2 linked regions of the Xenopus tropicalis genome follow. The protein of the gene in region 2 purifies or fractionates together with the protein of the main gene of each other region. This does not show direct contact. Links are inferred from orthologs where the notes say so. Each region holds a gene or a part of one and is shown on either strand. Other genes may lie near its edges.

The links. The genes of interacting proteins can lie anywhere in the genome.
Region 1: the proteins of ddx39b (region 2) and ncbp3 purify together in Homo sapiens (co-immunoprecipitation; 4 studies listed by BioGRID and IntAct, with this or other methods). This does not show direct contact. The link is inferred for Xenopus tropicalis from reciprocal best matches to the Homo sapiens genes DDX39B and NCBP3.

The regions. Positions count from the first base shown.
Region 1 is NC_030678.2:48,494,708-48,501,013, reverse strand, and holds part of ncbp3 (nuclear cap-binding protein subunit 3), read right to left. Parts: intron 6,030-6,306; coding exon 5,904-6,029; intron 3,548-5,903; coding exon 3,422-3,547; intron 974-3,421; coding exon 849-973; intron 1-848. UniProt on the Homo sapiens protein: Associates with NCBP1/CBP80 to form an alternative cap-binding complex (CBC) which plays a key role in mRNA export. NCBP3 serves as adapter protein linking the capped RNAs (m7GpppG-capped RNA) to NCBP1/CBP80.
Region 2 is NC_030684.2:74,201,482-74,207,787, forward strand, and holds part of ddx39b (spliceosome RNA helicase DDX39B), read right to left. Parts: intron 4,251-6,306; coding exon 4,123-4,250; intron 3,070-4,122; coding exon 2,977-3,069; intron 1,286-2,976; coding exon 1,102-1,285; intron 343-1,101; coding exon 224-342; intron 1-223. UniProt on the Homo sapiens protein: Involved in nuclear export of spliced and unspliced mRNA. Component of the TREX complex which is thought to couple mRNA transcription, processing and nuclear export, and specifically associates with spliced mRNA and not with unspliced pre-mRNA.

The sequences.
Region 1 (6,306 bases), on a different chromosome or scaffold from region 2:
GAGGAAGAAAAATGCTGCCTATGACCCCCAAAACACCGTCCCCACCGTCAAGCATGGGGGTGGAAACATTTTGCTTTGGGGGTGTTTTTCTGCTAAGGGCACAGGACAACTTATTCGCATTAATGGGAAAATGGACGGAGCCATGTATCGTGAAATCCTGAACGACAACCTCCTTCCCTCTGCCAGGAAACTGAAAATGGGTCGTGGATGGGTGTTCCAGCACGACAATGACCCAAAACATACAGCAAAGGCAACAAAGGAGTGGCTCAAGAAGAAGCACATTAAGGTCATGGAGTGGCCCAGTCAGTCTCCGGACCTTAATCCAATAGAAAACCTATGGAGGGAGCTCAAGCTCAGAGTTGCACAGAGACAGCCTCGAAACCTTAGGGATTTAGAGATGATCTGCAAAGAGGAGTGGACCAACATTCCTCCTAAAATGTGCGCAAACTTGGTCATCAATTACAAGAAACGTTTGACCTCTGTGCTTGCAAACAAGGGTTTTTCCACTAAGTATTAAGTCTTATTTTGTTAGAGGGTTCAAAAACTTATTTCACTCAATGAAATGCAAATCAGTTGCTATCTTTTATTTAAAGTTATTTTTTCGATTTTCCTTTTGATGTGCTATCTGCCACTGTTAAAATAAACCTACCATTGAAATGATACTGTTCTGAGACTTTTCATTTCTTTGTCATTGGACAAACTTACAAAATCAGTGAGGGGTCAAATAATTATTTCCTCCACTGTATATATAAAAACAAGTCAGATATCCCCTATATAAAGTGTTTCACAAAGATACAACACAGAGAGGGTCACACACACAAAACTTCTGTTTATATTGGAATCCTTACCGGGTTCACCGATTTCTTTTCAGTTTCAGTTTCATCTTCATCTTCTGCTTCACTAGGATTGTCCTCTTCTACTTCACCTTCCTCAGTCTCATCTCCAGAGCTCAGTGGGCTGTCATCAAGTCTGTCTAAAAGGACAGTAAAAAATATGGAAAGTTACATGTTAAATCTGGTTCATAAAGGAAAACAAATTCCAAGGTGAAGCCAATCCCTACAACAGAGAGACTGTTACAAATTCTGTGTAAAATAAAGAATGTGAATAAAAATCCTGGTCGTCTACTCCACTCCTCTCAGGGCCTCCGTCTTTTTACACCATCCACACCCACTGCAATTTCTTGTCTTAAACCTTTCTATCTCGCTGCTCCTTGCCTCTGGAACTCTATTCCTGAATCCCTCTGTAGGTAACACTCACCCACTCTCTTTGAGATAAAACTCTAGATGCTACCTTCTGGAGCACTAAAACATTATTTTGCCTAGTCCTGCGCTTAAGGGCAAATGCCCATACCTGATGCACTCTTACCTTCCAATTTGTACCTGTATGTTACCCAACAACCACTTAGATTGTAAGCGCTACGGAGCAGGGACCTCCTTCCTACTGTGTTGCTTACCACATGGCACTTACTCCTTGTGTATTTATACTTATTTATTGTATTTATTATAACACTCCCTGTGTGTAATTTTGTATATTGTAAGATTGTACACTAGACACTTTGCAAAGTGTAACAATAGTGATAAAAAAATTATTTTCAGTACAGGCAATTGAACAAATTGGAAGGAGAGGAGGAGATACCCTTACCCTTCTCCATAAACATGAAGTGTTTTGGATTTTTTATGTTCATACACGTATACCCTTAGGTTTGAATTTTACTTTTGATTTTACCTGCTTTGTGTGAAAAATATATTGTTTATATTTTTTGTGTATTTTCACTCTGTAACCCTGTGGTATGTATTTTTTAACTTTGGTAAAATTGACTTTTTATTTGATAGAGTAAACTTAATGAATAAAAATGTCTGCATTAGAGGAGCAGTGAGTTGCTCTACATTGATTGGTTTTAATAAAGGTGGGTTGTGCTCTATACCATGTATTTATAGATTAGCATGAAACACATTAGGCTTTGTATATGGGGTTTGTTTTAACGGATTATAATAAAGATGTTTATTAAAAAAAATAACTTTTTGGTTGTTGCGGACTCAATCTTTAAATTCAACTGAAAGGAAATCATAAAAAGCAAGTCTGGTGAACTAACTAACCCTTACCTTAAATAAACTCTAAAAATTACTAATTACCAATTAGCCTTGTATAGTATTTATTATACACTGTATATACAGCATATTGTGTGTCGGTCCCTAAGCTCAGGTGAGTGACAGCAGCACAGAGCATGGGCAGGTTATCAGCAGAAAAGAAGATAGGGGGATTGGAGGCACAGATCTTCCCTGCTAAAGGGCTGTGGTTGCCTTGGGCTGGTACATAAACCCAAAACATAATGTACATCACCGTTAGCAAAAACTACTTAAAGGAAAACTAAATCTCCAAAGAAGTAGGCTAACAGGTTCTGTACCAGCCCAAGGTAATTATTAATGGGGCAGTATGACCCCTTGTTCAACATGTTCAACAATGTTTTTTGTTATTTCTTTATCTACACAGAGAAATAAAAAAACTGAAACTACTCCATGTTTGGATTTTACAAGTTAATACAGGTATGGGATCCTTTATTCTCAAACCCATTATCCGGAAAGCTTCAAATTACGGGAAGGCGTAATAGATGCCATATTAATCAAATAATTCAAGAATATTAAATATATTTTCTTTTGCTCTGAAATAATAAAACAGTACCTTGTACTAGATCTCAACTGAGATATAATTACTGCTTATTGGAGGCAAAGCAATCCTTCGGAGTTTAATAACTTTCAACAATTTTTTTTAGCAGACTTAAAGCATGGAGATCAAAATTATGGACAGACCCCTTATCTGGAAAACCTGAGGTCCCAAGCATTCTGGATAACAGGTCCCATAAATATAAACAGATTACCAGAGCACAGATAAACAACTGAATAAATGAACTCCTTCTAACAAAACCGCCACAATAAAATAGTGACAGAAGGGCTCAGTATCTATAAGTAAGTTAACTAATGGTAGGATAGTAAGTGTGGAAGCAAAACATTGTTCTCTTACTGTTTTACAACACAAATAACTAAAAACTATGTATTTTTAGGGCGAAGACACATGGGGCGATTAGTCGTGGTGATGGCCATTGTACTCGCTGAAACTGGCTTCATTAACAGTCGTGGCGACTAATCGCCCAGTGTGTCTTCTCCCTTTTATTTATTTATATTAATAATCATTTACATTGTTTTTTCACATGTACTTTCAGCACAGGTTCTGTTTATTTTGCTCATGTTGCAAAAGGGTGTTATAGGTGCATACTGCTCCTTTAAAATGTTTTAACCTGAAACAAGATATCATTTTGTGGGACTAAAAGCTCCAAAGAGGTATTGTGCATGCAGTTATCCTAAAAACCATTATGGGTATGAGAGTAATGATTATGTCAGATGGCGAGATAAAAAGAAGAATTTACCCTTTTTGGATCTGGCAGAACTGTGCTCTCCATCTTTTTTTCTTTGGCCTTTTTCATTAGTGGGCATACTGCTTAGGTTTAACAAAGCACGAGACGGAGTTACCTCATCCAGCCACACAACGTTACCTAAGGAGAAAATGCAAAACTAAATCATGAACACAGCTTGCATAGATTGCTGGCACACATCTGTACAGTAAAATACACAGCATTCTAAAATGTGCAATCAAAGGATTCAACATGGAAAGGAAATACAACAATTTATTCACTGTTTTAGTCTAAAGTGAAACAATTAACAGTCCATAGTTGCAGTATGTCCAGTACCAAGTGCATTAGGAAGCACACCACCCACATAAAGTTAAACATCTGTAACAAAAAATACAGAAAACAAATTTTGGAGACTTTGACCCTGTCTATCACAGAAGTGGTGCGCTGGTGAGAGGTATGTATAGTTCTAAACAATGCTAACTTTCACTATATAATACATTTCTCTCACTGGCTGGTAGGTAAAACCTATCCAATATGTTAAACTTGTGTCAGTTTGGGGACCATAAACCCCAGCTTTTAGCATTAATCATTCCTTAGACAAAAAGGAAAAGAATTCACTGACTAAGGAATTTAAATACCTTAATTTAATGTATATTCAGTGTTGGATGTTCAAGTAAGATTTCTCGTTTGCACACATAAAACATACACAACAGTGGAAATACATTCCAAATTCCCTGCTCTACCATAAACCCTGAAAAACACAAAAAAGCTGTCTTTAGCCACTGTAATAAACTGCATGAGTTCTTTGTATGGAGCTTTCACAGAATCATTCATTGAGTAGAGTATGGTGCAAATGGCTTATGAATTGGGCAGCTTATAGGACACAAGGGTGAGCTTTTACTATTGATACAAATATATCTAAGGAGCAGAAAGAGGGCCACATCAATCAGCTTATTACCAATTGCTTTTTGGTGCGGTGCATACATAATGGTATGCACCATTATGTACTTTATGTACTGCACATTAAAGGAGAAAGAAAGGTAAAAACTAAGTAAGCTTTATCAGAAAGGTCTATGTAAATACAGCCATAAGAAATTACAAAAGATTAGTTGCGTCTGTTTTCCTCTGCCAGAGACAGGCAGCTCTCTGCTCTCTCCTGCTCCCGCCCTCCCTCAAGAATGCTAAGAACTCACTCCCCCCCTTAGGAAGGTGGATCTGAGCCAATCAGCAGGAAGCTGACTCATAGGGGCTGATTTACTAACCCACGAATCCGACCCGAATTGGAAAAGTTCCGACTTGAAAACGAACATTTTGCGACTTTTTCGTATGTTTTGCGATTTTTTCGGATTCTGTACGAATTTTTCGGATCCAATACGATTTTTGCGTAAAAACGCGAGTTTTTCGTATCCATTACGAAAGTTGTGTAAAAAGTTGCGCATTTTGCGTAGCGTTAAAACTTACGCGAAAAGTTGCGCATTTTTCGTAGCGTTAAAACTTAACGCTACGAAAAATGCGCAACTTTTCACGTAAGTTTTAACGCTACGCAAAATGCGCAACTTTTTTACGCAACTTTCGTAATGGATAGGAAAACTCGCGTTTTTACGCAAAAATCGTATTGGATCCGAAAAATTCGTACAGAATCCGAAAAAATCGCAAAACATACGAAAAAATCGCAAAGTACCGATCATTACGAAAAAAACGCAATCGGACTCCATTCGACCCGTTCGTGGGTAAGTAAATCAGCCCCATAGTCTAACTGAGCATGTACACAGGTCTTGCTCTTGGTGCAGGAGTGAGGCATTATGGGAACTTTCTCTACAGAGCTCAGTTTTTTCTTCCTGTGTGGCTTCTGATAATCTGAATGGGAGAAATATGCGGAGACTTAAGGGCACTATTGAGAGAAGGGAAGGTATGCCTGCAGCTTGAGATGAACTCTTTATTAGCCTTTCCTTCTCCTTTAAATACTTATGTATGCACGGTATAGCACGTGTTAATTAGTTCACCCCTTCTACAAATGGGATTTATACTACTGGTGACTACAGAACAACAGATCCAGAGCTATCTTTCTGCATTCAGCACTGGTGTCCATCTCTAAGTTTCTGAGGAAGAACTGAAATGATACATGCTATCAGAGTTGTGGAATGGATATTGCTGCCATACCAAATATATTAGGAGCACTTGTGGATATTCTTTAATATTATCTGCAAATGAAAACAGTTAAAACTATTCCAGAAAAAGAACATTTTTAGAACTAAACACAATCACCAGAAAATATGTTTCTCTTTAGATACAGAAAAAGTGACATACAAATAATGGCACTATTGAGACTGTTTTAAGGCTTCAGGTGTATTTGAAAGTAAGATCAGAAGGCTAAAACAAGACTGGATTGTTGGAATCGTAGTTACTGCACCAATATGCACTCATAACAAATGGCATTCTGTATTGTATAGAAAAATGAATTCTATCCAAGCATCTAGCAAAATAGGAATACACTTACAGGAGCTGTCATCCAGCCATTCAATGTATCCTGGAGGGTATTGCTTAAAGAAGGCAAAGATATCCTCAGTGCTCATATCATCAACACCATAGACATAAAGAGTTTCAAGGCGGACTTTGGGGATTGCTAAGGAAATAGTGAAAAAACATGTTAGAAGTTTTTCTTTTGCATTTCATAAACTGAAGAAATCAAAGATAATGGAGGAAACCGCCTCATAAATTATTTTAAACATCACTGTTGGCAGTAAATATATCTGGTGGTACAATTCTATTACTGCCAAGGAACAGACCTAACCCTTGGGCAAACGGTATTGGCAAGGTATATAGCAAAACAGTGTCAAAATCTGAAAGGGTTTGTTTTAGAAAGCAAAATTTAAAAAATAATTTTCTTTTGGCAATTTTAA
Region 2 (6,306 bases):
AAAATTAAAAAGTGCAGCAATGGGAAATGTGCGTGACCCAACTTGCACTTAGGCTTGTGTAGAACAAAAAAATGAAAAAGTTGTTTCAGTGCCACACAGGGTAGTAATGCCTGAGTTTGGCTTGGTGCTTCTTTCAAAAACAGTCCCTTAGTTAGCGTTGTCAGCCAGGGGCTGCTTGAGGAATGAGGGAGGAGGAGGAAGAAGATGAGGAGTTGGTAATTACATCTTGCATAAATTTGCGGCAAACCGGGCGAATCTCCTTGCTCAGTGTGGCACTGAACATCATAACCTGCTTCTCATGTGGTGTCATGCGGAAAATTTCCTGTACATCTCTGCGCATGTCTATGGGTTTTGGAAAAAGAAAAACAGAGTAAATAACAGTGAATGAGAGGGGAATTTCCACCCATCTCAACTTTAAAAAAGGAAACATGACACATGAGGAGATTAGTCGCTCCGTGATAAATCTTCTCCAGCATGGGCAATTACTTTCCTGAATGCTTTCCTACCAGTGTAAATCACCCATGGAAAAACATGCGTCGCTTTGGTTTTCTGAAGCCATCTTAAGTTGCCTTGCAAGGCAACTTAAGATGCTTTAATAGAAAATACCTGCTAAAACTTGGCTTCCTTTCAATTGAACTACGGCGATAAGGCGAAGGAAGGAGCTGCATCCACTATTTGACGATCAATTGATCGAGCCTAGCCTGACTCCTTCCTATACAGAAAGAAGGCTAGGCTCGATCAATCGATCGTCGCATAGTGGATGCAGCTCCTTCCTTCGCCTTATCGCCATAGTTCAATTGGCAGGAAGCCAAGTTTTAGCAGGTATTTTCTATTAAAGCATTTAAAAAACTAAGTGGTTTGCAGGATAGGACATTTATTGGTGCAGGGTAAAATAGCTTTTTTACTTAAAAAAATTTAGTGTTACATTTCCTTTAAAGGGCTGCTGTATTCACCTTAATATAAGAACCCATATGACAAACACAAAATATTCAAAATATACTTCTTCCTGTGGTATATTTCCCTAAAGAAGGTTGTAAATCCAAAAAAGAAAGACATTTTGCCTTTGGCTTATTTAGGCATGTATTGCATTTAATTACTCACCTAGCTGTTCTAACATCTTGTCACACTCATCAAGGATGAAATGTTTGATGTGTTTCAGATTCAGAGTCTTGTTTCTTGCAAGCGCCAGCATTCGCCCTGGTGTTCCCACCACAATGTGGGGACAGCTCTTTTTCAGAACCTCCTCATCTTTCTTAATAGCAAGCCCCCCAAAAAATACTGCCACCTGAAAGACATAGTGTAATTTTAAAGACAAGGAAAAAAAACAGAAAAACAGGGGAAAGCAATGACAGTAGAGAGTCAAATACCTTTAAAGAAACAATAACACTAAAAAAAATGAGTGTTTTAAAGTAATTAAAATATTAGGCACCATTGCCCTACACTGCACTGTGTTGCTGCAAAAGAGCCACAGATTTAGAAGGCATGTAATGGATAAGATGTGTCAGAGGGTTGAGTTCTGACACAGGAGGATAAATAGGTGCCAAAGGGAGTAAGGGTAACTTCACACCTGGTGGATGATCTGCTGAGAAAAAAGAATGAGAATGCCCTAAGGCAGGGATCCGCAACCTTTCATACCCGTGAGCCACATTCAAATAGAAAGTGTGTCGGAGAGCAACAAAAGCATTGAAAAAGTTCCTGAGGGTGCAAATAAGAGCTTTAATTGGCTATTTGGTAGCTCCTATATAGACTGGCAGCCTAAAGGAAGCTCTGTTTGGCAATTACACCGGGTTTTATGCAACCAAAACTTGCCTAGAAGCCAGAAATTCAAAAATAAGCACCTGCTTTGAGGCCACTGGGAGCAACATCCAAGGGGTTGGGGAGCAACATGTTGCTCATGAACCACTGGTTGGGGATCACTGCCCTAAGGTATGAAAACCTCTTTCATAAAAAATAGGACAACTGTTGCCAAGAAATAGTTTATTTGAAGGATCTAGGTAGAAAGATAAAAATGTTAAATGTAAAAAAAAAAAAACATTTTCACTTTTTGACATTACTGATCCTTTAACTATATAAAATAAACCCGTAGTAATTTTGGACTATCCATTACAAAAGAAACCTTCTGGCCCCTTCCACTTGCCACTTATTATTAGATTATAGGATGTATGTATATGGTTTAGAAGTATTGTGAGATTGCAGAAGCTGTATGATTTAAACACAATGTTGCATCTGTTTATCAAAATGTTACACTGCTGCCAGTCACTGCCATCCCCACAAACTAAAGAGGAAAAAAACATTTCTGCAATATGGGACAGATAAAGAAAATATTACTTTTTTTCATAAGGAAATGAAAGTTAAAAGGACAGAAAGGGGCAAACCCACAGGCCAAAGACAGACTGTTTAAGTTGCCCTCTTACCTACACATGTACTGATCAGCAGGCAAATAAGACTGGTTTATATTCATCAGAAGAAATATTCACAAGTTTTTCATTCTCGTCTACTTATCTGCATATATTTATTTATTTATTTGTATGGTTTGTAGTTGGCATGCTGCTGCTATTCTGATCAAACTCTATAATACAGTGCTCTCTAAAGAGCAAATGAACTTAAAGGAGAAGGAAAGGCTAAGGCACTTGGGGGTGCCAAAATTTTAGGAAGCGCTTGCAGCTACCCCGGGCTGGTGCTGTTCTCTCCTAACAGGGGCACCAGCCCAGGGTACAAAGTAAGCAATTAAAGTCACTTGGGGGTGCCTAACATTTTTGCACCCCCAAGTGACTTTGCCTTTCCTTCTCCTTTAAGAATTGTTATGAAAGTGCTGCACACTTAAACACCACAAGGAAAATAACTGTTCATTATAGAAAAAAATGTCTGATGGGTACCTTTTCTTTTCCATTGGAAAGGCACATCATATTTAGGCAAACAAGAGTTAACAAGCCATGGAAATTTAAAACCAGACAGATTTACATACATATTCCTTACCTTAACAGAAGGCATATATTTGGAGAATCTCTCATACTCCTTACTGATTTGAAAAGCCAACTCTCTTGTGTGACACATGACTAATACAGAGACCTACAATACAATCCAAGGAAAGGGACAGTCAACACTACAAAAACAACAGAAAATACAATATTTTGGATTGTAAATGTCACCTAAGTGCATTTTCACACAGCAACAAATATATGCACTTGTCTTGAGTTAGCATACTGGACAATAAATGGCAAGGAGCTGCATGGAGTTTAAATTTTTTACTAGGGTAGCTAAAGGAAAAGTAACACTAAAAATTTTTAAGTAAAAAATCTATTCTACCCTGCCTATAATTGCCCTATCCTGCACACCATTTATTATTTTTAATGCTTTATTAGAAAATACCTGCTAAAACTTCCCGGCTTCCCGTTGTTTGAATTCTTCGCTGCATCGCCCTGTTTCAAATGACCAGAAGCCAAGTTTTAGCAGGTATTTTCTAAAATTTTTAGTGTTACTTTTCCTTTAAGCTTCAGCCACCAGATAGCACTTTAACCCTTTTCCTGCCAATAGCACAGTTACTACATCACTGGCAAAGGATGTAAGATACTGCCAATGACATAGCATCTACATCCCCAGGTAACTCTACAGGCAAAATGCATTTCCTAATAACATCTCTTTCCAGAAGCACAATTAAACCCACCAGATCGCTAACAGGAATAGGGTCTACACCATTTTAAAAAGTAATTTTTTAAGAGAACTACTAGTACTCACGCAAGTTGTAAAGTATTAGATGATAAGATTTTGCTAGTTTGGGCCCCAATCATTGTTTTTTTTTTATTGTGAATTTCCCTTTCAATTATTTATTTCAGACAATCTAAATTCTCTCCATAATTGTAGCTTTTGTTTAGTTATATATTTTACTTTTCAAAAGAAAGTATGCCCTCAGGATTAGAACCTTTTTTGTGCGGAACATTTTCGCCTTTTTACTTATTGTTTTTATAATGGGCTAATTCTAATCTCACAGACAAACTTGGAGAAGGGAGGCGTTTTTATGCAAAGGGCATCTCGGTGGACTGGTGATTTTTTGCTCATTTTCATCTTAACTAAAAGTAACGTGACTTTACTTTTAATTTTGTTTTTTTGTTCCTTAACACTCACCTGCCCAGTAACAGGTTCCAGCTGTTGCAATGTGGCTAACACAAAAACTGCTGTTTTTCCCATGCCAGACTTTGCTTGACATAAAATATCCATACCAAGAATTGCTTGGGGTATGCATTCATGTTGTACTATAGGAAAGAAAACAAACAGAAATACAGATATTACATAAAAAATGCCCTCTACTCAAACACACATTAAAACCACAGAAGAAAACTTTAAATTATTATCTGCCCTTCTTTTGCATAATGTAAATTGTAATCAACTTTCCAAGGTATATTAATAAAAACATTCAAAAGTTTTATTTACATAACATATTAAAAACAGAATCTAGTGGTTTAAACTCTCTGCACTTCTGCACACCAGGAAAACAGTGTCAACTGTACAGAAAGTATAGAAACAAATTTTAAATTAACTTCAAAATTAAACAAATATATATCATAACAGTTTTGTAAATTCCCAACTCAATTTCCTTTTCATTTAACCGAATAAAAACTACTGAAACTGTCTTTGTGTTCAGCAAGATTTAACATATTAGACCTGCTTGTTTGATAAGGTACAGAAGTACCCAGAGCGGGTTGAAATAATAACTTAAATAACTACTGCATGGACAGAAATTGCATTAGGGTAAGCAATACATGTACCTCCAATGATTTCAGTGTGGTGAAAAAACTGAAAATAAACTTTATAAATGAGCATGTCTGTGGAATTGTCTCTTAAATGTTGCATAACAACAATATAATGTACAGATTTAACCCCTTTGGAAGCTCAGAAGTGGCTAATCCATAATCTCGTTTGACAGAGCAAGATATTGACTGTCTGTTTTAGCACCATACAAAGAACCTAGTTCCTTATGCTGATCATAAAACTGTTCATTTTTTGGCCTCTAGTACCTTTATTTACCAAAGATTTTTTTCCCCCCTGGGCAGCAGACATTTTTTAAACAGGAAGCAGCACAACACAAGTATAAGATGCATAGGAAAATTTAAATCAGAAAGAAAGCTATAATCACTTATGTGAGACCACCCTAGGCTGGCCCTCCTGTTTGCTAAGAAATGCAGTGGCCCAGGTACTAATGTCGGAGTGAAACAAATAAAACTTAAATACACAGCACTAGTTTACGGTGAGAGCAGCACCATACAATAGTGAGTCCTATCTTCCACTCTATGAAAATAACAAACACAAAATTCAGGGGGGCTTTTCAATTTCTCCCCTTAGTCCTCAATGTGGATTTTCTGTGGAAATATATAAACTGCAAATAGCAAAGCACCATCAGGAGAATAGAAACCCTCAGGATTCCGTTCTGCTTACTGAATGATCAAGATACTAAGCCTTCACAATAGTCACTCAGGGTCTCATCAATTCATAAGGTGGTTCTAAGCTTAAAGGAGAAGGAAAGGCTAATAAAGAGTTAATCTCAAGCTGCAGGCATACCTTCAGTTGTCTCAATAGTGCCCTTAAAGGAGAAGGAAAGGTTAAGTCACTTGGGGGTGCCAAAATGTTAGGCACCCCCAAGTGACTTAGAACGCCTACCTTGTACCCCGGGCTGGTGCCCCCGTACGGAGAGAACAGCACCAGCCCGGGGCAGCTGCCGGCGCTACCTGCTTCCTCCTCGCTTGCGCGCGCATGCGCAGTAGAGTGAAAAGCCGAACTTAAACATTAAAGTCGGCTTTTCACTCTACTGCGCATGCGCCGGCCCACGGATTTCGGCAGCAGCGCGCAAAGGAAGGAGGAAGCGGTGTCTACAGGTGCCCCGGGCTGGTGCTGTTTTCTCCTAACGGGGGCACCAGCCCGGGGTACAAGGTAGGTCATGTAAGTCACTTGGGGGTGCCTAACATTTTGGCACCCCCAAGTGACTTAGCCTTTCCTTCTCCTTTAAGTCTCCCCATATTTCTCCTGTTCAGATGATCAGAACGCAAACAGGAAGAAAAAACTCTGAGCTGTGTAAAGAAAGTTCCCATAATGCCTCACTCCTGTACCGAGGCTAAGTGTACATGCTTAGTTTGTAAGACTATGGGGCACATTTACTAACCCACGAATCCGAATTGGAAAAATTCCGATTGGAAAACGAACATTTTGCGACTTTTTCGTATTTTTTGTGATTTTTTTCGTCGCCTTTACGACTTTTCGGAAATTGTCACAACTTTTTCGTAACCATTACGACTTGCGCAAAAAAATGCGAGTTTT